Linked DNA regions of Macaca fascicularis. The protein of the gene in region 4 interacts with the protein of the main gene of each other region in a pairwise test. Links are inferred from orthologs where the notes say so. Each region holds a gene or a part of one and is shown on either strand. Other genes may lie near its edges.

What was found.
Region 1: the proteins of AGTRAP (region 4) and HSCB interact in binary tests that used the Homo sapiens proteins (3 or more experiments, as listed by UniProt). The two-hybrid records come from large-scale screens. The link is inferred for Macaca fascicularis from reciprocal best matches to the Homo sapiens genes AGTRAP and HSCB.
Region 2: the proteins of AGTRAP (region 4) and PITPNC1 interact in binary tests that used the Homo sapiens proteins (3 or more experiments, as listed by UniProt). The two-hybrid records come from large-scale screens. The link is inferred for Macaca fascicularis from reciprocal best matches to the Homo sapiens genes AGTRAP and PITPNC1.
Region 3: the proteins of AGTRAP (region 4) and ACSF2 interact in binary tests that used the Homo sapiens proteins (3 or more experiments, as listed by UniProt). The two-hybrid records come from large-scale screens. The link is inferred for Macaca fascicularis from reciprocal best matches to the Homo sapiens genes AGTRAP and ACSF2.
Region 5: the proteins of AGTRAP (region 4) and AP3M1 interact in binary tests that used the Homo sapiens proteins (3 or more experiments, as listed by UniProt). The two-hybrid records come from large-scale screens. The link is inferred for Macaca fascicularis from reciprocal best matches to the Homo sapiens genes AGTRAP and AP3M1.
Region 6: the proteins of AGTRAP (region 4) and MYG1 interact in binary tests that used the Homo sapiens proteins (3 or more experiments, as listed by UniProt). The two-hybrid records come from large-scale screens. The link is inferred for Macaca fascicularis from reciprocal best matches to the Homo sapiens genes AGTRAP and MYG1.
Region 7: the proteins of AGTRAP (region 4) and MIEF2 interact in binary tests that used the Homo sapiens proteins (3 or more experiments, as listed by UniProt). The two-hybrid records come from large-scale screens. The link is inferred for Macaca fascicularis from reciprocal best matches to the Homo sapiens genes AGTRAP and MIEF2.

The regions. Positions count from the first base shown.
Region 1 is NC_088384.1:22,920,497-22,923,996, forward strand, and holds part of HSCB (iron-sulfur cluster co-chaperone protein HscB), read right to left. Parts: intron 3,357-3,500; coding exon 3,267-3,356; coding exon of another isoform or gene 3,262-3,266; intron 2,100-3,261; coding exon 1,955-2,099; intron 1-1,954.
Region 2 is NC_088390.1:73,801,751-73,805,715, reverse strand, and holds the start of PITPNC1 (cytoplasmic phosphatidylinositol transfer protein 1), read right to left. Parts: upstream 2,801-3,965; 5' UTR 1,965-2,800; coding exon 1,917-1,964; intron 1-1,916.
Region 3 is NC_088390.1:56,282,340-56,286,397, forward strand, and holds the start of ACSF2 (medium-chain acyl-CoA ligase ACSF2, mitochondrial), read right to left. Parts: upstream 2,801-4,058; 5' UTR 2,798-2,800; coding exon 2,661-2,797; exon of another isoform or gene 2,656-2,660; intron 1-2,655. UniProt on the Homo sapiens protein: Acyl-CoA synthases catalyze the initial reaction in fatty acid metabolism, by forming a thioester with CoA. Has some preference toward medium-chain substrates. Plays a role in adipocyte differentiation.
Region 4 is NC_088375.1:223,063,033-223,066,409, forward strand, and holds part of AGTRAP (type-1 angiotensin II receptor-associated protein), read right to left. Parts: intron 2,571-3,377; coding exon 2,536-2,570; intron 650-2,535; coding exon 544-649; intron 1-543. UniProt on the Homo sapiens protein: Appears to be a negative regulator of type-1 angiotensin II receptor-mediated signaling by regulating receptor internalization as well as mechanism of receptor desensitization such as phosphorylation.
Region 5 is NC_088383.1:72,311,117-72,314,616, reverse strand, and holds part of AP3M1 (AP-3 complex subunit mu-1), read right to left. Parts: intron 2,421-3,500; coding exon 2,335-2,420; intron 1,665-2,334; coding exon 1,531-1,664; intron 1-1,530. UniProt on the Homo sapiens protein: Part of the AP-3 complex, an adaptor-related complex which is not clathrin-associated. The complex is associated with the Golgi region as well as more peripheral structures.
Region 6 is NC_088385.1:60,099,172-60,103,454, reverse strand, and holds the start of MYG1 (MYG1 exonuclease), read right to left. Parts: upstream 2,801-4,283; 5' UTR 2,765-2,800; coding exon 2,549-2,764; intron 2,353-2,548; coding exon 2,240-2,352; intron 1-2,239. Other genes in the region: PFDN5 (prefoldin subunit 5), read right to left, coding at 3,156-3,232. UniProt on the Homo sapiens protein: 3'-5' RNA exonuclease which cleaves in situ on specific transcripts in both nucleus and mitochondrion. Involved in regulating spatially segregated organellar RNA processing, acts as a coordinator of nucleo-mitochondrial crosstalk.
Region 7 is NC_088390.1:18,393,063-18,395,703, reverse strand, and holds the end of MIEF2 (mitochondrial dynamics protein MID49), read right to left. Parts: intron 2,580-2,641; coding exon 1,525-2,579; 3' UTR 501-1,524; downstream 1-500. UniProt on the Homo sapiens protein: Mitochondrial outer membrane protein involved in the regulation of mitochondrial organization.

The DNA.
Region 1 (3,500 bases), on a different chromosome or scaffold from region 4:
GTCTTGATCTCCCGACCTCGTGATCCGCCTGCCTCGGCCTCCCCAAGTGCAGGGATTACAGGCGTGAGCCACCGCGCCCGGCCTAAGAGGAACAGGTTTTTTTTAGGGGAAAGGTGGGGAGGGGAGACACTTGGGAATCCATTTTGGGCACAGTTGACATATATAAACTCCAAGAAGGCACAGTCTTTCTTGTTCTATGCTGTATCCTCAGTGTCATACGCAGTGCCTGATATTTGTAGTAGAACACTACAAATATCTGTGAAAGTATGTAATGAATAGAGTCTAACAGAGAACCTTGGAATCTTTTATATGTGGAATGGTCAATTTGATGAGTCAAGTTGGCTAGGCTATGGTGCCCAGTTGTTTGCCAGGCACATTGAGTCACGCCTGTAATCCCAGCACTTTGGGAGACTGAGGCAGGGGGATTGCTTTGAACCCAGGAGTTTAAAGCCAGCCTGGGCAACATGGCGAAATCCCATCTCTATAAAAGACACAAAAAATTAGCCAGGCGTGGTGATGCACGCCTGTAGTCCCAGCTATCCAAGAGGTTGAGGTGAGAAGATTGCTTGAGCCCATGGGTCAAGGCTACAGTGAGCTGTGACTGTACCACTGCGCTCCAGCCTGGGTGACAGAGTGAGACCATGTCTCAAAAAAACAAAAACCAACTAGTTTAGATGATCCTGTGAAGGTATTTGTAGATGTGATTAACATTTATAATCAGTTGACTTTAAGTAATGGATGTTACCCTACATAATGTGGGTGGGCCTCATCCAATCAAGTAGAGGCATTAAGTGCAAAAACAGGTTTTCTGGGAAGGAATTCTGTAGCAAGACTGTAACATAGAAATCCTGCCTAGACTTTCAGCCTGCTTATCTACCTTATAGATTTTATTTATTTATTTTTTTGTGACAGGGTCTCACTGTCACTCAGGCTGGAGTGCAGTGGCGTGATCTCAGCTCACTGCAAGCTCTGACACCCGGGCTCAGGTGATTCTCCCACCTCAGCCTCCCGGATAGCTGGGACCACAAGTGTGCACCTCCACGCTTGGCTGATTTTTTTTTTTTTTTTTTTGAGACAGAGTCTCACTCTGTTGCCCAGGCTGGAGTGCAGTGGCACAATCTCGGCTCACTGCAAGCCCCGCCTCCCAAGTTCAAGCGATTCTCCTGCCTCAGCCTCCCGAGTAGCTGGGATTATAGGCATGCACCACCATGCTCGGCTAATTTTCTATTTTTAGTAGAGACGGGGTTTCTCCATGTTGGCCTGGCTGGTCTCGAACCCCCAACCTCAGGTGATCCACCTGCCTCGGCCTCCCAAAGTGCTGGGATTACAGGCGTGAGCCACCACGCCCGGTCGATGCTTGGCTGATTTTTTAGTCTTTTTTTTCACAGATGGAGTTTCGCCACATTGCCCAGGCTGGTCTCGAACTCCTAGACTCAAGGGATCTGCCCTTCTCGGTCTCCCAAAATGCTGGGATTACAGGCATGAGCCACTGCGCCCAGTCCTACCCTATAGATTTTAGATGTGCCAGCTCCCACAATTATGTGAGCTAATTCCTTAAAGTAAATAACCTTCCTTTTTTTTTTTTTTTTTTTGAGACGGAGTCTCGCTCTGTCGCCCAGGCTGGAGTGCAGTGGCGTGATTTCCGCTCACTGCAAGCTCTGCCTCCTGGGTTCATGCCATTCTCCTGCCTCAGCCTCCCGAGTAGCTGGGACTACAGGCGCCTGCTACCACACCTGGCTAATTTTTGTATTTTTAGTAGAGATAGGGTTTCACCATGTTGGCCAGGCTGGTCTTGAACGCCTGACCTCAGGTGATCCACTCGCCTTGGCCTCCCAAAGTGCTGGGATTATAGGCATGAGCCACTGTGCCTGGGCCATTATGTACTCTTTACGTTCATTTTTCACTTATCCTTGGACAAGCAATGAAATACATTCGGTGCTATTTTGTCTTTCACCTTTGACAATGGATTCAATCTCTTTCATGGCAGCTTCACTTTCAGCTTCTGCAAGTTTTTCATTGATTTCCATTATTTCCATGAGAAATTGCCTGTCCATTTCATAATCTGTCCTTTCAGGAATCTCTATTCCATGGAGCTTTAGCTATTGGGGCAGAAAGCAAGAAAAATAAGTTGAAGAAACTATGGGCAGAGTAATCTAAATCCTACTCATCCGTTAGGAAATAATACCTCTAATAGAGAAAACTGGAACAGTCCCAGTAATGAAAGACTAAGGGGTATCAAAAGGTTGGACTGAAACATAAATGCTGGAATGGGATTTCCACTTAATGCTACCTGAAACTGTGTGACCTTGGTGTGATCTTGGGGTAGTCATCCCTCCACCCAGAGGTTGAACTAGATGTTTCTAAAGATTCTATTCAATTACAAAATTTTCTAGATTGTAAGATACTTTTTTTTTTTTTTTTTGAGATGAAGTCTCGCTCTGTTACCCAGGCTGGAGTGCAGTGGCATGATCTCAGCTCACTGCAACCTCTGCCTCCTGGGGAAGCAATTCTCTGCCTCAGCCTCTCAAGTAGCTGGGATTAGAGGCACCTGCCACCACGTCTGGCTAATTATTTTGTATTTTTTGTAGAGGCAGGGTTTCACCACCTTGACCAGGCTGGTCTTGAACTCCTGACCTCGTGATCCACCTGCCTCGGCCTCCCAAAGTGCTGGGATTACAGGCGTGAGCCACCATGCCTGGCCTCTTAAGATACTTTTGAGAGGGGAAAATAAAAAAAACACAACAGAAAATGACTTTTAACTAAAAGCTACCAACATCAAATCCTTGAAATTCATAGAAAAAAGCTAGAAAATAACAATTTAAAAAATGCTGTTGAGGCAAGTAATATTCACAGAGAAAATTATACTTGTGCTGTAAGGCTAAATACTATTGGGTCCCTGGACTCTTTTTTTTTTTTGAGAGGGTGCAGTAGTACAATCACAGCTCACTGTAGCCTCGACCTCTCAGGCTCAAGTGATCCTCCTGCTTCAACTCCAGAGTAGCTGGGACTACAGGTGTATGCCACCATGCCCAGCTAATTTTGGTATTTTTTGTAGAAATGGGGTGTCATCATGTTGCCCAGGATGGTCTTGAACTCCTGGGCTGAAGTGATCTGTCCACCTCAGCCTCCTAAAGTGCTGGGATTACAGGTGTGAGCCACCATGCCCGACCTCAAGCACTCTTCTGCTGAATAAAGGGGACGTGGCTGTCCTATGTCATAATGGGCATCAGGACTTCATGCACAAAAGGGTTGGGAAATCACCTTACAAGGTACAGTCCTCTGCTCAGGGGGGCGAGGAGGGTCTTATAGGCGTCATTCACCAGGGTCGAATGCTTCTCTGAGAAGTCCTTTTCAGTCTGTTAGTGGAGATGAAGATAGTACTTTACCATCCAAATTACAAAGTTTTTTTTTTTTTTTTTTTAGACAGAGTCATCCAGGCTGGAGTGGCAGTGGCATGAACTCAGCTCACTGCAACCTCTGTCTCCCACGTTCAAGTGATC
Region 2 (3,965 bases), on a different chromosome or scaffold from region 4:
GGTTCCATCTCAAAAAAACAAAAAAGAAAAGAAAAAAGGAAGGAAGGAAGGACGGACGGACGGACGGAAGGAAGGGCCTCCACCTATATCATTCAAATGTAATTACCCCATGTTATACCTGTGGATATTTCGGTACAAAAACAAAAGTGGGAAAAGCATCTGCCTGAGTGTTTCAGAAAGCCTGAAAAGGGAACTAACTAGGATAAAGAGATTTTGTAGGTAGTAGAGAAGCTTCTAGAACTGGTTCTTTTCTTGATTATCACCTGCAATTTTCTGTGTATTCCATGCAGTCCCAACATTGCTCCTAGAATCCAAACTCATATCAAAAAACAAGGTCATTAGGAGATAGAGTAGAGGGATCCACGCCTCCCAGGTGAATTACTCTAGCTCAACTGCCCAGAAGGTGGGACGATATCCACCTTTTCTGGAAAGACCTATTAACCAGTCCCATTCATTTGCCTTTCGCTTTCTCCACAAAGCTATGTCCTGCTTCTCCACTTACAAGGTCATATGCAACTTGAATCTCTGTCTACCCATCTGGCATCCACCCTTCCAGACCCTACTTAAATGCTACCTCCTCAAATGCCAAAGAACTCCAAAACTCGGTTGATCATTCTGGTGGAAGCTGATCTCTCCCTCCTTGGCAGCCTGTGTACCCCTGATGCGTTTTGTAAACTTGCAGCTACTTTGATTTTGTCTTGGATTGTACTTGGGTCTTGCCTTAACCCTTGGTCCAGATGGCAAATACGGACAGCCCCTGTGAGCACAGCCACGTTCTCAGTTAAGGATCTTTTTCTCTCCCAAAGCGCATCGCCCCTCTCACCAAGTGGTGGCTCAATAACATATCTGATAGTTTCAAGGCACCAGATTTAAATATAAAGACGGTGTGGGTGGCTGATTTCATGTGTGTTGCCACACCAAACCATACTAGTGAGTTTCACGTTGCCGTGCTTGGCTTTGGGCTCCCTCGCTGTCCCTGGACAGAGGCGCTCAGCAGTCGTGAAATCACCACAAAGGTGGGCAGGAAGAAGGGGAAGAAAGGGAAGCCAGGGCTGGAATAATCCAGTCTGAGTCACCACTTCCTGAATGCTGGGGCTCGTGGCTTCGCAGGTTCGGGAAAAGGGCAGCAAAGCCGCGCTTGGAGGACGAGCCCCCGCCCCGCGCCCGGCGCCCCCAGCCGGCAGCCGCTGCCCCGGCACCACGTGCTGGAGCGCCCTCCTGTGGCCGCGTCGCAGCCTCAGCCGCTCCCGGCTCGCGGGCCGACCACGCTCCCCGCGGCGGAAGAAATAAGAGACGCAGAAAGTTTCCGAGCCAGGCGGTTTGCGAAAGGACAGAGCCGGGTCCCGAGCCTCGAAGGGCGGACGTGCCGGGAGCGGCGCCCAAGACCGCGGCGACGGCGACAAGTCGGGCCCCGCAGGGACCTCCCCCAAGGGCTCCGAGGTGCCCCCCGCGGGGCTCTGGGCGTGCAGATCCCGAGGGCGCAAGGCTCCTCCTTGCACCCCGACCTGACCGCAGAGGGCGGGGAGGGGAAGATGGGCCCACGGCCAGGACGGGGTGCCCCCCAAACCCTAGCTACAGCGCGCGCCGGGGGCTCTTGGGTTTGCTTTATTCGTTTTCTTATTTGGAAGGAGGGGGCGCACCCACTCCCTTTGGCTCATTGTGATCCCCAACAGTCTGGATTCTGGGCGCCCCCAAAGAGCCCACCCGGAGTCCGCCGCCCCACCCAACGCCGCCCTCCCCCGCTGGGGTGACAAGTGGAAGCCGCAAATCCCCTTCCTCCTCTCCTCCAGCCTTCGGGCTTGCGGGGTAACGTCCACCTGGGTTTCCTGCCGCTAGCCCGGGGCTCGCCGGCCAGGAGGCGGCGGCGGCGGCGGCGGTCCCGGAGCGGGCGAGGCCGGGCCGGGCGCGGCGCTTACCTCGTCTACGGTGAGCGGCATGCAGATCCGGTACTCTTTCAGCAGCATGGTCCTGCCGGCCGCGGATCCCCGGGGCGGGAAGCTGGGGGCGCCCTCCAGACCAGCAAGGCTGCCGCCCAGGCGCAGGGCAGGGCGCCCGGAGCCCAGCGCTCGTAGCCGGCGGGCGAAGCAGCCCCCGCGGCAAGCTCAGCTCCTGGCTTCCTCCTCTCCGCCCCAGAGCATGTCAGGGTTTGGGTCCGGGTGTTCGCAGCTCCTCCGCCTCCTCCCTCGCCGAGGCCGGTCCTCCCAGAACGCGGTGTTGCAAAGTCAGAGAGGTAGGGAGGGAGACCCGCTGGTGACGGCTCTGCTCGGCAGCCCAGGGTGGTAGGAGCGGCCGCCAGATCAGGACATGCCCGGCAGCGAGCGAGGGAGGAAAAAAGAGAGATTTCCAAAAATTAAAACGAATGCACAAAAGTCACCCGCTCGATCCGCCTCCGAAAGCAGAAGGGAACCTGGCGAACCCCCTCCTCCGGCGGGTCTGCCCGATGCTAATGTCACCAGGAACACATTGCAGCCGGAGCCGGAGATGCTGACTTTCCAGACAAAGGCTCGATCGGCTCCTCTCCGCGGGCGGTAAACAAGATTTCCTGCTCTTTTTAGGGCCGGTCCCCGCGCCGCTCCGGGGCTCGGCTCGGGGAGAAAAGGGAAGCCGCCGCTCGGCTCTGCCCGGCTGGGGCCCCGGGCGCCTCCAACCTCAGCTCGCGGCTGCTAGGGGCGGGCGGGAGGAAGCTGGCGCCTTCCGCGCGCGTCCCCTCCCCCGAGTCCCTTGGCTCCCCGGGCGCCGTGCGTGCCCGCGAGTTTGCAGCCACCTCGCCGGGGCCGGAGCGTCCGCGCCGATGCAGTGTGCCTGGGCCCGGGAGGTGGGTGCGGGAAGAGCGAGCGCGAGCAAGGCTGACATCAGCAGCGGCCGCGGCGGGGAGGGTAGCCCCATCCGGCCAATGGGGAAATGGCAAAGAATGTGGAGGATTTAAACAAAACAGCATGTCTCTGCCAGACGGCGGGGCTGCTCCGGAGCGGAGCCCGGCCGGCGCTGGGGAGGCTCGGGCAGAGGGGCTTCCCTCGGCTCCTTTGCCCTTTGAATCCGCTCTCCATTGTGCCCTGAGTGCCGCCGAGCTCCATCCAGCCCCTCTGGGCAGTTTCTGATCCCCTGACCCTAGGGACAAGTCACCAATGCCCACCACCTATGTGTGGTCCAGTAAGCAAGTCCAGGGCTGGAGAGGCAATGGGTGGGATTTGGGAACAAACCCTTGCCTGGTTTCAGAGGAGAGATCCTGGAAAACTGGGAAGTGCAGCCGTGTGAATGGAAATGAAGTACAAACAGGGGGAGGGAACAACCAGAGAGCACATGAACCCCACGTAGCCTGTTACCTCGCCTGGCCCGGCTCTGCAATCTTTCTGCAGATTGTGCAGGCTCCGCACAGCAGAAAGAAAGAGTAGGTTTTCGTATTCGCACTCCTAAGTTCAAAAAGTCACAGTGAAATGTCAATGAAAATGCCTGGAGTGTTGCTATTTCATCCATATTAAACAGATCCCTCATTTTAACCACAAGAAGCACATTCTTCAGTTACTCAGGAAGCAGCATGGAACTGCTGAAGTCTGTTTTTCATTTGTCTGGTATTTTTCAGCTTGTTTTTATGAAAACTTGCCGGATGAAAAATGCATCAGTTGCCTGTATGAGAATAACCTGTAAGCGTTATCTTTTCTCCGGAAAATCTTCATGCTCTGAGGTCCTGAGGCTAGAACTTGGATCGGGATGCAGATGCCTCAATATAGAATTTTGAATTGTGATTAATAAGTAATTAACCAATATGACGATGATGGGCTTGTGGCAAAAGTCATCCAGAGGGCTGGAGAGAATGTATAACTGTGTTAACTGATACAAACCCTCCTAGGAAAATGATACCCTGTATCCAGCTTATATTTTAGTGGAAACTATTTTCCAGATAAATGCTTTCCAGAGTTGGCTCAGAAATATTCACAGCAACTAATTAAAGCTAAACCAAATTCCTC
Region 3 (4,058 bases), on a different chromosome or scaffold from region 4:
CAGGGTGAGGACTGAGTTTTGTGGCCTCTATATCCATTGCACGTGCTAGGCACTTGACACAGAATCTGTTCTCAGGAATGTTTGCTGATGGTTTCAGCCCTGAGGCTTCTTTTTTTATTTTTATTTTATTTTTATTTTTTTGAGACGAAGTCTTTCTCTGTCACCCAGATTGGAGTGCAGTGGTGCAACCTCCACTTACCAGGTTCAAGCAATTCTCTTGCCTCAGCCTCCCAAGTAGCTGGGATTACAGGCATGCACCACCACGTCTGGCTTTTTTTTTTTTTTTTTTTGAGACGGAGTTTCGCTCTTGTTGCCCAGGCTGGAGTGCAATGGCATGATCTCAGCCCACTGCAACCTCCGCCTCCCAAGTTCAAGCGATTCTCCTGCCTCAGCCTCCCTAATAGCTGGGATTACAGGCATGTGCCACCGTGCCCAGCCAATTTTGTATTTTTAGTAGAGATGGGGTTTCTCCATGTTGGCCAGGCTGGTCTAACTCCTGACCTCAAGTGATCCACCCACCTTAGCCTCCCAAAGTGCTGAGATTACAGGACTAAGCCACCATGATTGGCCTTTATTTTATTTATTTTTTATTTTTTTGACATGGAGTCTCGCTCTGTCACCCAGGCTGGAGTGCAGTGGTGCAGTCTTGGCTCACTGCAATCGCCGCCTCCCAGGTTGGAGCAATTCTCTTGCCTCAGACACCCTAGTAGCTGGTATTACAGGCCACACCTGGCTGATTTTTGTATTTTTAGTAGAAACGGGGTTTTACCATGTTGGCCAAACCGGTCTCCTGACTTCAAGTGACCCGCCCGCCTGGGCCTCCCAAAGTGCTGGGATTACAGGCATGAGCCACCCACGCAGCCTTTATTTTTATTTTTGAGTCTAGGTTTTGCTCTGCCGCCCAGGCTAGAGTACAGTGGCATGATCATGGCTCAATGCAGCCTTGAACTCCTGGGCTCAAGTGATCCTACCACCTCTGCTTTTCAAAGTGCTGAGATTACAGGCATAAACCACCATGCCCGGCCTGAGCCCTGAGGCTTCTGAAGTGGAAAGTAGGAGAGAAATCAGGTAAAACCACCACAGTTAGCCAATAAGGGTACAAGCACAAGGGAGTGGAAGGGGCAGAAAGGAGGTAGGCCAAACACTCAGAAAATCATCTCTCTGGATAAACGAGTCTCCTCCTGACACAGCAATAAGAATTTCTCTGAAGCTTGGTGCTCTCAGAGGCCTCAGGGCTGTAGCAGGTAAGTGACCTATTTTGTTTATAGACAAAAAAGTCAAAGGTCAGGAATGTTGCCATGTGGCCTGATTTATTATTTATTTATTACTTTGTTTGTTTTGTATTAGGCAGCCTCCTGAGCCAGAGTAGGCTGAGAGACTCCCCTTTGGTCTGATTTAGTATGATAAAATATGCACACGGTGGGGAGTAACTTTCCTTAGAGTCCTCCCAGCCTGAGGGGGCACCCATGAGTCCAGAGGAGAGGCTTAAGAGACTAGGGGATCAGGGGAGGGCTGAACTTGTCTAGGGAGACCCTGGGAAGTAGTGAGTGACTTCCCAGGGTCACTGGGAAGAGGACCCCACTGTCCTCATCTCAGTCCCATCTACTGACCAGCCTTGATCCACTTAGTTTTCTCAGCAAATTAGGCAGAGTGATGTTAAGGCGTTGCATGCTTTCTAGCATTCAGGAATCAGCAAGTTCAAAAACTGTGATCTCGGAGTTCCAGCAAAAAAGGAGTCTGCATGTCCCTCCAACTCTTCCTGCTTAGCCTTTTTAAAAACAAAAACAAATCTAGTTCTCTGAGACACAGCTTTGTTCTGACTTCTCCTTTTTCCACGTCCAGACCCACACCCCATCTGATGTTGTTGAAAGTGGTGTCCTGACCACTGACTTAGTATCTGGCCTAGTTGAGTGGTAGGACAGGCTCAGTGGTGCACAGGGCTCCCCAGTGGTGCTGCTGAAGCTAACAGCACTGATAGCATTGGTGGCAGCCTGCTCTCTATGACTCAAGCACTTTCACATTTGCCATCTCAGGCGGTCCTCCCAGGGACTGGTCGCGCCGGAAGGCAGCTTTACTTACTGTGCTGCTGCAGAGGCAGTGAAACTACTGGGAACTGAAATCCTCTGCCAGTTTCCATCCCACCCCTTGCACTGAGGATAGAAGAAAATAGGCCCAGGAGCAGGCAGCAAAGAATAAAAGCCATGTTAGTGAGCAGCTGATGAGGAGAGAGGAGACTGCTAAGTTTAGTGGCCTGGGTCGGGGAGAATGGGGCTGATCCCCAAGTTTGCCCATGCAGGGGTTCCAACTCAGAGGCAGTGGCCTGGGCGTACAGCCCAGGCCTTGGCCCTGGCCCCTCCCCATCGGAATATTCTCCTTAAAGCCCACACTCCTTGCCCTCTGTGCCCATAAAGGAGAAAGAATCGAGAGTCTTGGACCAGAACTCGAAGTCCCTGCAGCCACCAACCAAAGCCCCCTGCCAAGTCCACCAGGCCAAGCCAGCTTTTCCTATTGCCTAGGTGCTCGTAGGGGGCGGGTGAGGGGCGGGTACCTTCCCCCCGGTGCACTCGTCCAGAGGTGGGGCTTCCGAAGCTCGGCAGGACCTCCAAGTTCCTCTCCCAGGGAACTGCCCCGCCCCCTCTCTTCCCGCGGGGGGTCAGTACCTGAGGAAGCGGACAGCCTGCAACCTCGCTTCCTGCCAACTCCGAGAGAGGGCTGCCCGGGCCCCCAGCACCCCCGGGCTCCCGGCGCACATTCTCCCCAGGCGCAGCATCCCGACGTAGGCTGCAGTGGCTCGCATCGCCCAGCGTCCCGGCCAGAGTAAACTTTTAAAGTGAGCCGGGGCGGGGCGGGCGCGGAGCAGGCGGGGAGGCGGGGAGGGTGGCCTCTGCCTATGGGGTGCGGCGGACTCGGTCTCGGCCGGCGGGGCGGGGCGAGGCGCGGCGGTGGCGACTTCGCGCGGGGCCACCTTCCCCGCGGACCCCGCGACCCTCCCCCTCCTACCCTCGAAGAATAGCCCTGGTTTCCTCTGGATCCGAAGGCCCCAGCTGCAGTCCGAGACAGATCTTCCTCGCGACCATTCTCAGGGGCCTGGATGTTAGAGGCGCAAACGTTTGTTGATTTTCCAGAGGGGCCAGATGGCAAGGTCAAGATCCGTCCATCCCCTGCCCCCTTTAGCGCTCGGGTCACGTGCTGGCCCCGCTGCTTGCAAGCCAGGGGCCAAAGGAGCAGGCGCGAAGCGCCCTTGAGGCATGCCAGCTGGAGCAGAGGGCCCGCAGGGGTGGGGAGGCAGCCGGGACAAAGGGTGTCACGGGTGAGCCCCCTGCGAGCCCGCTGGCGCCAGAGTCGTAGCTGAGGCCAGATGTCAGCTTCAGAAGGGACACCAGTTGTACCCCATCTCACACGAGGCATCCTCCCATCCCTCCTCTGCTGCCTCTGCCTTGACCTTCTTCACAGGGTTGGGGGCCGGGCACTGTAAGGTGGCCTCAGGGACTGGGACCTGTGTATTTCATCCTCCATCTGCCTGTCTTGGGGCCTGTGGCACAGTTCCCTGTGCTGCCCTAGGCGTGAATGGAAAGCAACCCTATGCCCCTCCTTAGGGTTCCTGAGTTCCAGGGGTGGGTGGGGTACTAAGACACGGCCGAGCTGCGGGACACAGAAGGTGATAATCCTGCTCTGCTCCTGGCTAGGAAAGGTGGCACTGGGCACCAAAGAGTAGCACAGTTTATGCCTGTTCCAGGTCCACACTGCCTCGGGCTAGCCATGACTCTTCCTCTAGAGAAGGAGCTGGAGAAGAATGAGGCAAAGGCCCTGGCAGTGTGACCTCCCCTCTCCTGACAGGAGGAGATGAAGTGAACTCTGCCAGGCAGAAGGGGTGGCTGAGAGTGGAGCCTGGCCTGAGGTGACGTTTGCCCTTATCTGGGAACTCTGGCTCCATTTTGGTCATGAGAAGGAGTCCACGCTGAGCCTCTTTATGATCTTGAGCGTGACCTCAAATCCTCCCTGGAACCCCGGTTCCTAGGGAGGGTCCACACACTTCAGTTTCTGTGGGGTTGGGGCAG
Region 4 (3,377 bases):
AAAAGAGAGCCCCAGGGGCAGGTTACAGGGGATGTTCTGCCGCTCTGGCGAAGTGGCTAATCTGAGGCACCGGTGGGACCCACCCCATGGCTTTCCTCGGGGAGATAATGGCAGACTTGGGGTTCTCTAAGCCAGACAAGAGCAGCAGGCTGGGCTCCTGAAGACAGGCATGGGCCGGAGCCCAGGAGGCTGATGAACAAGGCTTTAGACAATGGGAAGTGGCAGCCCAAGGAAAAGGGAGAATATTGGGACGGGACGGGGTGGCAGAGCCAGGCTGTGCTTCACCCTGTGCTGCAGCCCCCCACCCTGCCGCCTCTCCCCCACCCTGCCGTCTCTCCCCCACCCTGCCGCCTCTCCCCCACCCTGCCGCCTCTCCCCCACCCTGCCGCCTCTCCCCCACCCTGCCGCCTCTCCCCCACCCTGCCGCCTCTCCCCCACCCTGCCGCCTCTCCCCCACCCTGCCGCCTCTCCCCCACCCTGCCGCCTCTCCCCCACCCTGCCGCCTCTCCACCACCCTGCCGCCTCTCCCCCACCCTGGCTCACCATGCTTATGGCGTCGATGGAGTCCCGCTGAGCCACAGCCCACACACCCAAGGCCAGGACAGTGAAGTTGGCCCAGGCATAGGAGCCCGAGAATACAATGCAGCCCCTGTAGGAAGAGGTAGCTCAGTCCTGTCAGGCGACCACCACCCCACAGGTCACCTCCCTCCTGCTCCGGGGTCTCAGGGCCTCCTCCCAGAACACACCATAGTCTTCGAGGCCACTTGGCTGTGTGCCAGCAAATCCTATGGGCTCTGCCTCCCACTCAGACCCTGGATCTGGCTGTGTCCCTGTAGATCCAAAGCACCTCCCTCTCCTGCCAGATGACAGCCGCAGCCACCCTGTGCCAGTGTCCTGACTGCCACTCTGTTCTCTAAACAGCAACCCATAATGTAGTCAGATGCTGTCACTCCTCTGCTAAAAATCCTCCAACAGTTTTCTGTCCCATTTAGAATAAAATGCAGACTCTTCACCAGGACTTAAGGGGCCCGTGGGATCCTGGACACAGCTCCGCCCTTGCTGACCTCCCAGCCACTGCCCTGTGTGGCGGGCACCCTCTACCCTGACACCTGGCCCTCCTTTTGTCATTCAGTGGCAACTTGAATGTTCACCCTGAGACTCCTTCCCTCACCCACCAGTGCTAAGTACAACCTTGTCATTTTCCTAACACAAGCTCCGCCCTATTATCTTTTTTAGGGTATTGCCACTAACTGACATTGTTGACTTACTTATTTGCTTGTCAATCCAATCAAAATCATAGTGAACACAGATCACTTGCTAGTACCTGGCATGGTTCTAAGTGCTTTAAATTAACTCATTTATGTGCATTTATATTAACAACCCTAGGAAGGCAGTATTACTGTTATCCTTACTTTAGAGATAAGGAAACTAAGGCACAGAGAGGTTAAGTAACTTGCCCAAGGTCACACAGCTGCTGAGCAGTAAGCCTGGGATTTGGAGTCTGGCTGGAGAGGCCATGCTCTTGCTCACCCTGCTGTGCTGCAAAGACGACTCAGAAGGACAGGGACCAAGTCTACTTCGTTTATTACCAATGCTTCCTAGATTTATGGGACATTCACTGCAGTGTAACATGCAGAAGACATGTACAAGGCAGGTGTGAAGTGCCATTTGGTTCAATACGTCTTTGAATAAACCATCTTATTTTTTGCTTTTAAGAAAGCAGGTGGCCGGGCGCGGTGGCTCAAGCCTGTAATCCCAGCACTTTGGGAGGCCGAGACGGGCGGATCACGAGGTCAGGAGATCGAGACCATCCTGGCTAACACAGTGAAACCCCGTCTCTACTAAAAAATACAAAAAACTAGCCGGGCGAGGTGGCGGGCGCCTGTAGTCCCAGCTACTCGGGAAGGCTGAGGCAGGAGAATGGCGTGAACCCGGGAGACGGAGCTTGCAGTGAGCCGAGAACCGGCCACTGCACTCCAGCCTGGGCGACAGAGCGAGACTCCGTCTCCAGAAAAAAAAAAAAAAAAGAAAGCAGGTGCCTGGGTCCCAGCCCAGAATCACCAACTCAGAATCTTGGGGAAGTGTGACTAAGAAATCTGTATTTTGGCCCTGCTTCTCAAGGTCGTGAACCATGATGGCTACTGTTCATATTACTCACAGCTGTTGCCCTGTGTGCTGCACTGCAAAGTTTACAAAGTGCACATGTGAGCTCAGGGGTTTCCAGTCTTGGTTTGGCAGAGAAATGTCTCCAGAAGCTCAACAGATTAAAAGTGATGGTAAAGGTGAAAATCAAGCCGCAATGCTGAGGCCTCACTGCGGGGCAGGCCCTGGGGAGCTCTGATGAGCACTCTTCCTCATCTCCCTCCCAGCTCCTGCAGGGTGTGCAATCCTTATGCCTATTGTACAGATGACCTGAGAGGCACAGCTGTTTGGCCCAAAGTGACCCGGCTAAAACATGGCAGAGCCAGGACCTGACCCGGCTGACACAGACCCTGAGACCGCAGGAGACACAGAGATACCCACAGAGTCACTTACCAGGTTGTCAGCAGCCAGTGACCTAGGAGAATCACCTGTGGTATGACAAGGGGGGGAGAAGAGGTCTGTGAACATGACCACCACAGAGGCAGGAAAGCATCAGGTGCAGAAAACACAGGAGGCCCCCGCACCCGGCACCTCTGAGGGCCTCAGAAATGTCTGTTGAAAAGACAAACCAGCAACTGCAGGTGGCCCAGGAGTGAAGGAGGAGGAAGAAAGCAGGCCAGGTCAGGGAGGGGCCGCTTCATGCCTTCACTGACACCCACGCCCCTTCCAAGAGTCAGAGGCGTTTGAACCAGATCAACTCCATCTTGAATAGGAGCTGGGTAAAATAAGGCTGAAACCTAGTGGGCTGCATTCACAGACAGTTAAGGCATTCTAAGTCACAGGATGAGATAGGAGGTCAGCACAAGGTACGGGTCATAAAGATCTTGCTGACAAAATGAGTTACAGTAAAGAAGCTGGCTAAAACCCACCCAAATCGAGATGGCCACAAGAGTAAACTCTGGTGGTCCTCACTGCTACACTTCCACCAGCGTCATGACAGTTTACAACTGCCATGGCAACGTCACAAAGTTACCCCTTATGGTCTAAAAAGGGGAGGCATGAATAATCTACCCCTAGGTTAGCGTATTATCAAGAAATAACTATAAAAATGGGCAACCAGGCTGGGCGCGGTGGCTCACGCCTGTAATCCCAGCACTTTGGGAGGCTGAGGCGGGTGGATCACCTGAGGTCAAGAGTTCAGGACCAGCCCGGCCAACATGGTGAAACCCTGTCTCTACTAAAAAATACAAAAATTGGCCGGGCGCGGTGGCTCAAGCCTGTAATCCCAGCACTTT
Region 5 (3,500 bases), on a different chromosome or scaffold from region 4:
AGAAGAATCACTTGAACCCAGGAGGTAGAGGTTGCCATAAGCCAAGATCACAGAATTGTACTCCAGCCTGGGCGACAACAGTGAAACTCCGTCTCAAAACAAACAAACAAAAAAACCAAAAAAACATAAAACAAACAAACAAAAAAAAAACAATTGGGGCAAATGGCCCTAGTTTAAAAAAATGAATTACGATCCCACTGAAAAATAATGTAAAATATGTTTTATATAAATGAAAACAGTTCCTATGTGATGAGTCAAGAAACAGGCTGGGTGCGGTGGCTCACGCCTGTAATCCCAGGACTTTGGGAGGCTGAGGTGGGCGGATCACCCAAGGTCGGGAGTTCGAGACCAGCCTGACCAACATGGAGAAACCCTGTCTCTACTAAAAACACAAAATTAGCCGGGCGTGGTGGTACATGCATGTAATCCCAGCTACTTGGGAGGCTGAGGCAGAGAATCACTTGAACCCTAGAGGTGGAGGTTGAGGTAAGCCAAAATTTCACCACTGCACTCCAGTCTGAGCAACAAGAGCCGAACTCCGGTTCAAAGAAAAAAAGAGCCAAGAAATAATTTGTCTGCTTTTGAGTCCTGTCATAATGTTACTCAAATAACTTCTGGTATTTTCAAGAAACAAACTAGCTATAAAACTACGATCCCCAATGCTAAATTTTTTTTTATTTTTTTGAGATGCAATTTCACCCTCTTGGCCAGGCTGGAGTGCAGTGGCATGATCTGTCACTGCAACCTCTGCCTTCCAGGTTCAAGTGATTCTCATGCCTCAGCCTCCCAAGTAGTTGAGATTATAGGCACACGCTATCACGCCTGGCTAATTTTGTATTTTTAGTAGAGACAAGGTTTCACCACGTTGACCAGACTGGTCTAGAACTCCTGACCTCAAGTGATCTGCCCACACTGGCCTCCCAAAGTGTTGGGATTACAGGAGTGAACCACTGCACCCGGCTCTCAATGCTAAACAGTTCCTTAAAACCTCGAAGCAGAGAAGACTGACTTGAAGCAGGTAAGTTTGGGAATGTCCTCACGAACTACAGGTAGGTCTGTCTCCTTGTTAGCCACAAAGTCTACAGACTATGGTAAGATTATGGCAGTGGTTCATGGTTTTGCCCAGGTTATGCACAGTCCATTTTGCTCTGCTTGCAAAGTACTCAGCTGTCAGAAGCAGAGCAAAATGGACCGTGCATAACCTGAGCAAAGAACCAGCGCCATAATTTGACAATGCGTAACCTTGCAAAGAACCAGTACCAAAACCTTTTGCCCAGGTTATGCATGGTTTGCTTGCCCTTGGCTATAGATTTTACTCTAGTCTCACTTAGTACCACTCTACACTCATACATTCAAAGTATACTGATATTTTAGGTGCGTATTTTCACCAGTTCTCACTGGGTCTCCCGGTGAGCTATGGTTAAAGTGAGCAATGACGACCTCAAGTACTCAACTGTCATAAAGGAACAGGGAAAGGTGAGTTCTGCTTGATATGTATGATGGCAGATTCTGGCTGATGCATCAACATACTTTTGTGAGCTGACACGGTATGATATGAGTCGGAAATTTCCATCTGGAGGAATAAATGACAAAACTCTTTCAGATTCCCAACGCTTGAACCGGATGCAGGGGTGGAAGCTGACGTCATCCAGAAGCCTAGGGTTCTGTCAAGAAAACAGAAGACAGCCGTGTTCATAGAGCATAATGAATATGGGAACTGTACTTAGATACCTTGACAAATCAATATGTTCCCTGAAGATAAAGCAGTCATGGAAGAGTTTATGACCACATCTACACAACCTTATAGTTTCACAATGCTTTAAAGTTTGTAAATATTTTATGTACATTATTTTATTGAATTTCAATAACCATAAAGGAGAAAAGGCAAGTAGTATTATTTCCCTTTAACAGATTAAAAAACTGAGGTTCAGAGGACTTAAGGTCAGAACAAACTGGTGACAACACCAGAAGTCAGTTCTCTTAATTGTTCCTAGCAGTATGTCATGCTGACTCTAAAATGATACAAAAGACCAATGTCCTTTCATATCAGCAAAGCAAATAATTACTCAGTAAAAATGATACTGGATATTTGCAGAAGCCAGCCAGCCAATTTTAAGCCCTTTCTAGCACACTCAGGCAAAGACCTCCCTTAGCCTTTCCATAAAGACCACGCTCATCATGTAAGTGCCTGTCTTAGGAAACTCTGCTAGGAATATTTCTGAGACAATCCTTTGCAATCTAAGATGCAAACTTATCTCAATATTTATCATTTCATTTAGTACTTCACATGTATTAGGCATTCAAGGGGCTATAAAACAGGAGAATAAAACTTACCATGAAAGAAAGGGAGAGATCGGGCATTCCAGATAGTTTAATGCAAGCATCAATGACCCCCTGAATTTCTGCAAAGACTGTAGATCCTGAAGAAAGAAAGAAAAAGGAAGATAACATCAACGGAATATGAGTCTTAACTAGAGCTATCACTATATCTTTTTATTTTTATTTATTTATTGTTTTTAGAGACAGAGTCTTGCTCTGTTGCCAAGGTTGGAGTGCAGTGGCACGATCACAGCTCACTGCAGCCTCACTCCTGGGCTCAAGTAATCCTCCCGCCCTAGCCTCCCGAATAGCTGGGAATATAGGCGCGTGCCATGACACCTAGCCCAACAATCACTATATTTAGAATAATGGAGATACCCTCTGGGTGTCAGACTTACTGAAGCTTTACATCTCTATTAACAGGTCAGGGAACAAGGTCCATACCTAACTCTGGTTGGAATATGATAATTTTTCTTTTTTTTTAAGAGATGAGGTCTTACTAGCTAGTCCCAGCTGGCCCCCACAGTAACTGGGACTACAGGTATGCCACTGTAGAATATAATTTTTTTTTTTTTTTTTGAGACAGGGTCTTTCTCTGTCACCCAGGTTGGAGTGTAGTAGTGCTATCACGGCTCACTGCAGCCTCAACCTCCTGGGCTCAAGCAATCCTCCCACCTCAGCCTCCCAAGCAGCTGGTACTACAGGCATGCACCTCCATGCCTGGCTAATTTTTGTATTTTTTTGTAGAGACAGGGTCTTGTTACATTGCCCAGGTTGGTCTCGAACTCCTGGGCTCAAGCAATCTGCCTACCTCAGCCTCCCAAAGTGCTGGGATTACAGGTGCGAACTACCATACCCAGCCAGAATATGCTAATTCTAAGGAAAATTAAACTGTCTCCTTTATGGAGCCAACCCTGTAAGATGACTGGATATGAGTTTAAAACATATGAGGCCAGGCACAGTGGCTCATGCCTGTAATCCCAGCGTTTAGGGAAGCCGAAGTGGGTAGATTATCTGAGCTCAGGAGTTTGGGACCAGCCTGGGTAACATGGCGAAACCCCGTCTCTACTAAAAATACAAAAAATTAGCCAGGCGTGGTGGTGTGTGCTTGTAGTCCCAGCTACTTGAGAGGCTGAGGCAGGAGAATTGCTTGAACCCAGAAGGCGGAGGTTGCAGTGAGC
Region 6 (4,283 bases), on a different chromosome or scaffold from region 4:
TGGTGTGGTATAATTGAAGAAGGGTTTTGTTTTTATACCTTTGTTTCTTTTCAAGATAGAAGACACTTGAGAAGAGTTTTAGGCTGTAGAGAAGGAGAGGCAGAGACACTAGTGGAACTGTGACAGGACATCCCAGAGGATAGGCTGACGGTGGCTCACACCTGTAATCCCAGCACTTTGGAAGGCCGAGAGGGGGTGGATCACAAGGCCAGGAATGCGAGACCAGTCTGGCCAATATGGTGAAACCCCGTCTCTACTAAAAATACAAAAATTAGCCGGGTGTGGTGGTGGGCGCCTGTAGTCCCAGCTACTCAGGAGGCTGAGACAGTTGAATTGCTTGAACCTGGAAGACAGAGGTTACAGTGAGCCGAGATCGTTCCACTGCACTCCAGCTTCAATGACAGAGGGGGACTCCGTGTCAAAAAAAAAAAAAAGAAAAAAAGAAAAAGGAATCCCAGAGGAAAGTAATAGACTGGAAACAGGACAGAGGATTAACCTCCAACAGAAGGGAAGAAATTTCCCTTAACTGGTAGGAGGGAGCTGAGGATGTTTGAGGTGGGAGACTGCAGAAATGCTCAACTTCTTTTGCGAAGAGGCAGGGACGATCAGTTTGATGCTGTAGAGGCTTCACGGGGAAGAAAAGGATTGGAATGGGCTACCCTTGAGCAAGAAGGATTTCCCTTTGGAAGGGTGTAGATGAAGTAGAACACCTCACACATCTGAACTGTCATGAACTGCCACAATCATGTGGGCCCAGCAGTTAGGTGCAGCAGCAAGGGCACCAGAATGGATTAATCACAGATGGGTTTATTTAGTTGGGGTGATGTGGGGAAAAGAGATCAGACTGTTACTGTGTCTATGTAGAAAGAAGTAGACATACTCCGGGTGCGGTGGCTCAAGCCTGTAATTCCAGCACTTTGGGAGGCCGAGACGGGCGGACCACGAGGTCAGGAGATCGAGACCATCCTGGCTAACACGGTGAAACCCCGTCTCTACTAAAAAATACAAAAAAAAAAAAAAAAAAAAAAAAACTAGCCGGGCGAGGTGGCGGGCGCCTGTAGTCCCAGCTACTCAGGAGGCTGAGGCAGGAGAATGGCATAAACCCGGGAGGCGGAGCTTGCAGTGAGCTAAGATCCGGCCACTGCACTCCAGCCTGGGCGACAGAGTGAGACTGTCTCAAAAAAAAAAAAAAAAAAAAGAAGTAGACATAAGAGACTCCATTTTGTTCTGTACTAAGAAAAATTCTTCTGCCTTGAGATGCTGTTAATCTGTAACCCTACCCCCAACCCTGTCCTTACAGAGACTTGTGCTGTGGTGACTCAAGGTTTAATGGATTTGGGGCTGTGCAGCATGTACTTTGTTAAACCAGTGCCTGAAGGCAGTATGCTTGTCAAAAGTCATCACCATTCTCTAATCTCAAGTACCCACGGACACAAACACTGCGGAAAGCCACAGAGACCTCTGCCTAGGAAAGCTAGGTATTGTCCAAGGTTTCTCCCCATGTGATAGTCTATTTACTGAGATAGGAGAAAACTGTTTTAGGGCTGGCGGTGGGACTAGGGCTGGAGGTGGGACGTGCTAGCCGCAATGCTGCTCTTTATGCACTGAAAATGTTTATGGAGATGTTTGCATATGCACATCAAGGCACAGTACTTTTCCTTAAACTTATACATGTCATAGAGATCTTTATTCATATGTCTTTCTGCTGACCTTCTCCCTACTATGACCCTATTGTCCTGCCACTTCTCCTTTTTCTAAAAGATAGTAAAGATAATGATCAATAAATACTGAGGGAACTCAGAGACCGGTGCCGGCGCGGGTCCCCTGTATGCTGAGCACTGGTCTCCTGGGCCCACTTTTTCTTTCTCTATACTTTGTCTCTGTGTCTCATTTCTTTTCTCAAGTCTCTGGTTCCATCTGACAAGAAACGCCCACAGGTGGGGCGGGGCAGGCCATCCCTTCAGGGTGATGAAGTCGCTGGTGGGAAAAAAGCCTTGGCTAAGGAAGGAGATGAGATAAGGGGCCTGAGGGACTCCCTGAGAACCAAGGGAGGTCCCAGGCCAAGGAGATGGGTGAAGAACAGGCAGGGCGGAAGGATGGTGTAGTCCTAGTGGAAGTTTGATTTCAACAATGAGGCAGTTATTTTCGCTGACGCGGACCACTGCAGTGGATGGCTGAATTGGAGCACAGAGGAAAGCTGAGGTCAAGGAAGTTAAATAAATGGTATCTGAGAACCTACCTCTGGTGATGGTCATATCGGTGTCTCCGAGGGTCGTACTCACCCCCCACGTCCACCACGATGTCACAGGAAGCGAGTTTTTCGGGATCCCGGGTCCGCACAATCTCTGCATCCTGCGAGGTACACAGGGGTGAAGGGGCTGCCAGAGGTCGCCGGGTAGGAGATTAAAGCTGGACTTCAGGGAGACAGGGCGGGTAGGAAGGGTGCTTGGGATGCCCCGCGCTATCGGAGGGACCCTGTCAGCGGAATGCCATCCACCCTGGAGGCATGCATGCACGCAGTGTCAGGGTCACTTTTCGCGGACTGTACCCGGTACTCCGGCAGGAGGCGAAGCAGTGCGCATGCCAGTGCCTCGTCGCAGTGGAAGGTGCCATTGTGCGTCCCGATTCGGGGCGATGCCATGAGTTTGCTGCGGGGTCGTTTTGGGGGCGAGACGGACTCTGGGCCGAGCATGCGGTGCCGGGTATACACGGGTGGCGGCGGCAGCAGCAGCGTTAAAAGACCGCGCAGGAAGCGGTATCCCATAAGACTCTCCCGGTAGGGAGGCAGGAGGGCCGACCCGGAAGGGAAAGCGCCAGCGGAGCTCCACTTCCGCTTGCCAACCGTTGCCTTGGCAACCAGCTCCGCAGAGTGAGCAGCAGCTCACACCCAGCCTAGGATTTCTTCCAGCTGGTCAAAGGGCCCTGCGGTGGAGCCTTCAAGAGGAGCACCGCATCAACCCTGTGCATCAGGCTCTGGGGCGGGGCCCACACTCTCGACCACCCCCCCATCTCATCACCAGTCCCTTGCTTAATCCAAGAAAAGACCAACATTCTGCCCAGCTGGCACATTTATTGGCATTAAACACAAGACCCTTCCCAGCACCAGGAAGCCATGCCCAAAACCGTGTCCCTCTGCCCCATTTGTGCAAAAACTCTCAGGCCTTAGCAGTAGCCTGAGCTGCTCCCAGGGCTGTCAGCTGCTGAATCTTCTGACTCATCATTTCCATGACAGCTGTGGAAAAAAAGAAGCGTCAAAGGTTAGGAGCAAAAAGGAGAACCTAGAGTTAAGGAGAAGTTACAGGCAAGTTTAAGGACAGGTGGACAACTAACTACAGTTTGTTAATAAAACGTTTTTTTTTTTTGTTTTTTTTTTTTGAGACGGAGTCTCGCTCTGTCGCCCAGGCTGGAGTGCAGTGGCCGGACCTCAGCTCACTGCAAGCTCCGCCTCCCGGGTTCACGCCATTCTCCTGCCTCAGCCTCCCAAGTAGCTGGGACTACAGGCGCCCGCCACCTTGACCGGCTAGTTTTTTTGTATTTTCTTAGTAGAGACGGGGTTTCACCATGTTGGCCATGATGGTCTCGATCTCCTGACCTCATGATCCGCCCATCTCAGCCTCCCAAAGTGCTGGGATTACAGGCTTGAGCCACCGTGCCTAGCCAACTTTTTTGTTTTTTTGAGATGGAATCTTGCTCTTGTCATCCAGGCTGGAGTGCAGTGGCACGACCTTGGCTCACTGCAACCTCTGCCTCCGGGGTTCAAGCGATTCTCCTGCCTCATCCTCCCGAATAGCTGAGATTACAGGCATGCACCACCATGCCCAGGTTAACTTCGTATTTTTAGTAGAGACGGGGGTTTCACCATGGTGGCCAGGCTGGTCTTGAACTCCTGACCTCAGGTGATCCACCTGCCTCGGCTTCCCAAAGCGCTGGGATTACAGGCGTCAGCCACCGTTTCTGGCACTGTTAATAAAACTTTAACTCAGTGATCCACTGTGGGGTCGCTAACACAAATTTAGGGTCTACAATGCATCAATCAATATGTTAACCACAGCTGGGTGTGGTGAGAATGAGACTGTCTCGGGGAAAAAAAAAACCCTGCTAATCAGAGATATAAAAACGAACACACTTGGTATTAAATGAGTCTGACATAATCAGAAAACTATAATGTGGAAAGATTTTTACCTTCGGAACACTGGTTCTGAATCCTGATTGTAACAGAGGGGAGCTTTTTTAAAACAAAAAAACATACCTTGGTACAACTTCCCTTCCCTTGACTTCCAAGT
Region 7 (2,641 bases), on a different chromosome or scaffold from region 4:
GTGCTGGGATTACAGGCGTGAGCCACGGCACCTGGCCAAAATGCTTTTTAATTAATTAATTAATTTATTTATTTATTGAGACAGAGTCTTGCTGTGTCGCCAGTCTGGAGTGCAGTGGTGTGATCTCGGCTCATTGCAACCTCCACCTCCCGGATTTAAGCGATTCTCCTGCCTTGGCCTCCCAAGTAGCTGGGACTACAGGCACCCGCCACCACACCCAGCTAATTTTTATCTTTTTAGTAGAGATGGGGTTTCACCATGTTGGCCAGGATGGTCTTGATCTCTTGACCCCAGGATCCACCCGCCTCGGCCTCCCAATGTGCTGGGATTATGGGTTTGAGCCAGCGCGCCCGGCCAAGATGCTACTTTTTAAAGTAAACTCTACCACCTCCAATTGACCTCAAGCACCCTTGCCTAAGTGCCAGGACAAGCCACAGGACTTACAGAAAACCCCCAACAGCTACGTGTGAAAGCGCCAAGACCCCCTTATCCAGCCTGAGTTACACGTTAGAATTTTCTTTTATTCTTGTTCACCTCTTCGAAGCAGAGCTTCATTTCAGCAGGAAGGATACCAGAGGCAGGAGGAGGATCACTTGGGAAGGGAGGTGGAATCTCCCTCCTCTAGCCCCCCTGCTACCTCTAACGGGCTTCAAAGTCAGAATACAGCCATCGGCTGAGAGCAGTTCATTTTGGCACACTGGGAGGCCGGCTCTGCGCACCGGACCCCTCTGGTGGGGGATCAGGCCCTCTGCTCTCCAGTGGGGCCTGGAAGAGCTCCAGTGATATGCCCCAGCTGTGGGCTGGGGGCGCAGCACAGAGCCTCAGCTCCCCCAGGGCCCTCAGCTGCTTGAAGAAAACACTCACCTGGCTGGAGGGAAAAAGGGCCTTGCCCTGAGGTATCAGGTGGGTAGCAAGTCACACTGAGCTCCTGCTCCAGGGCTCGAGAACACAACAAGAAAACTAAACGCACAGAAGACAGCAGGAAAACGCCATCCTTTAACAGCCAAAAAGCTGTCATTCAGGGACACCAGGTGACTCCAGTGCCCGGGGGACAGAACAAACACACCATACCTACCACCAGGCACCAGAGGCCTCAAAACGCCTGGAGCTGGGGCCGGAGAAGGCGGTAAGTCGCCTTCTCTCAGCAGAAATGTGAAGTTGGCCTTTAGCTTCTGCCCAGGATGGCAGAAACCACATTCTGTCGGTGGATTGGTTGCTGGTGATGGACAGAGCCAAGGTCCTGGGGTTGGCCCCAAGGGCTGAAAAGGTGCTTGCAGAAATGGCTGGCACTCCAAGCTGCCTGAGCCAGCCCAGCCGTACTCAGGTGACAGTGACCCAAGCTCTCTGGGCTCAGGGTTTACGGCCACCATAGCCCAAGCACATCCCGATGCCCTGGGTTTAAGTAATGTACCCTCTTTTGTTCTGGCTAAAAGCTAGAGAAAAACCACTATTCAAATCCCCGGAAGGGAGGTGGGCGCAGCTTCCCAGCATTAGAAAACACGCCAGCCACCCATTCCCACCCACCTAGAGCAGCCCCTCGGGCTCCTGTAGGCCACTGTACAGCGCATAGCCAATGTCGTCAATCTCCTCCTCACGCAAGCTGCTGAAGAGGTTCACGCTGGGGTTGAAGTGGCAGGGCAGGCTGGCCTGCTCCAGGCTGCCGATGAGCAGTTCCAGGGCTTGCAGGAAGCGCTCACCCAAGGCCTCCTCCGTCCAGTCCACATTGTCCTCCCCCAGACGTAGGACCACCTGGGTCAGGTGACCCCGGCCCAGCTGCCCCAGGGCCGAGCAGCCACGGCAGACAGCACACAGCAGCAGCAGCAGCCGACGGCGGGTCCCAGCGTCATGGTCGTCCAGGGCTCGCAGCCTTGCAGCCTCCACTGGATACAGGTCCTGCAGCCAGAGGTTCCCCGCCAGCCCCTCCAGGGGCCAGGCCAAGAGGAGGTGGTCGTCAGCATCGGCCCCAGGGACTGCCACAAGCACAGCCACGGTGAGCTCCAGGCGCTCGTGCTGCACCTCGAGCAGCAGCTCCTCTGAGGCCATGCTGGGCCAGATCAGGCACCCAAGAAGGCTGCCAATGGCCGGCCAGTTGACAGAGGCAGCCAGCGCCTTTCGGAGTAGCTCCAGCAGGATGCGGGAAGAGAGGTAGCCCCCAACCAGGAAGCGGTCCCAGGGGCTGCTCCCGCGGGGGCAGAACTCAAGCTGAGTCCTGCGCACGGCCCAGCAGCGAGGGTCCCTTGCCACAGTGTCCACGCCCGGCACCAGGCTCCATAGGCCCGGCTCCAGGACCAGTGGCACCAGGAGACGCACATGGTCCGCGGCCCCTGCCTGCAGCCCATCATACAGCGGCCCCCCAGGCACAAATGCCCCAAAGGGCAGTTCCGGGAACTTGCTCCGAAAGTAGGCCTGCAGCTCCAGGGCAATGTCGCCAGCCAGCTGTTTGGCCAAAGCCACCTGGGCTGCTGGGATGGTCACATGGTCCCGCTCGAAGGCCAGCAGCCTCTCCTGCAGTGTCAGACACAGTGGTGCTGGGGAGCTGAGCTGTGGTGTCACCTCAGGACCAGTTTCTGCAGGCCCCTCTGCAGAGTGAAGGGGCGGGGAACATGTCGGAACAGCCTGTGATTAGTTAAGAAAACACCAC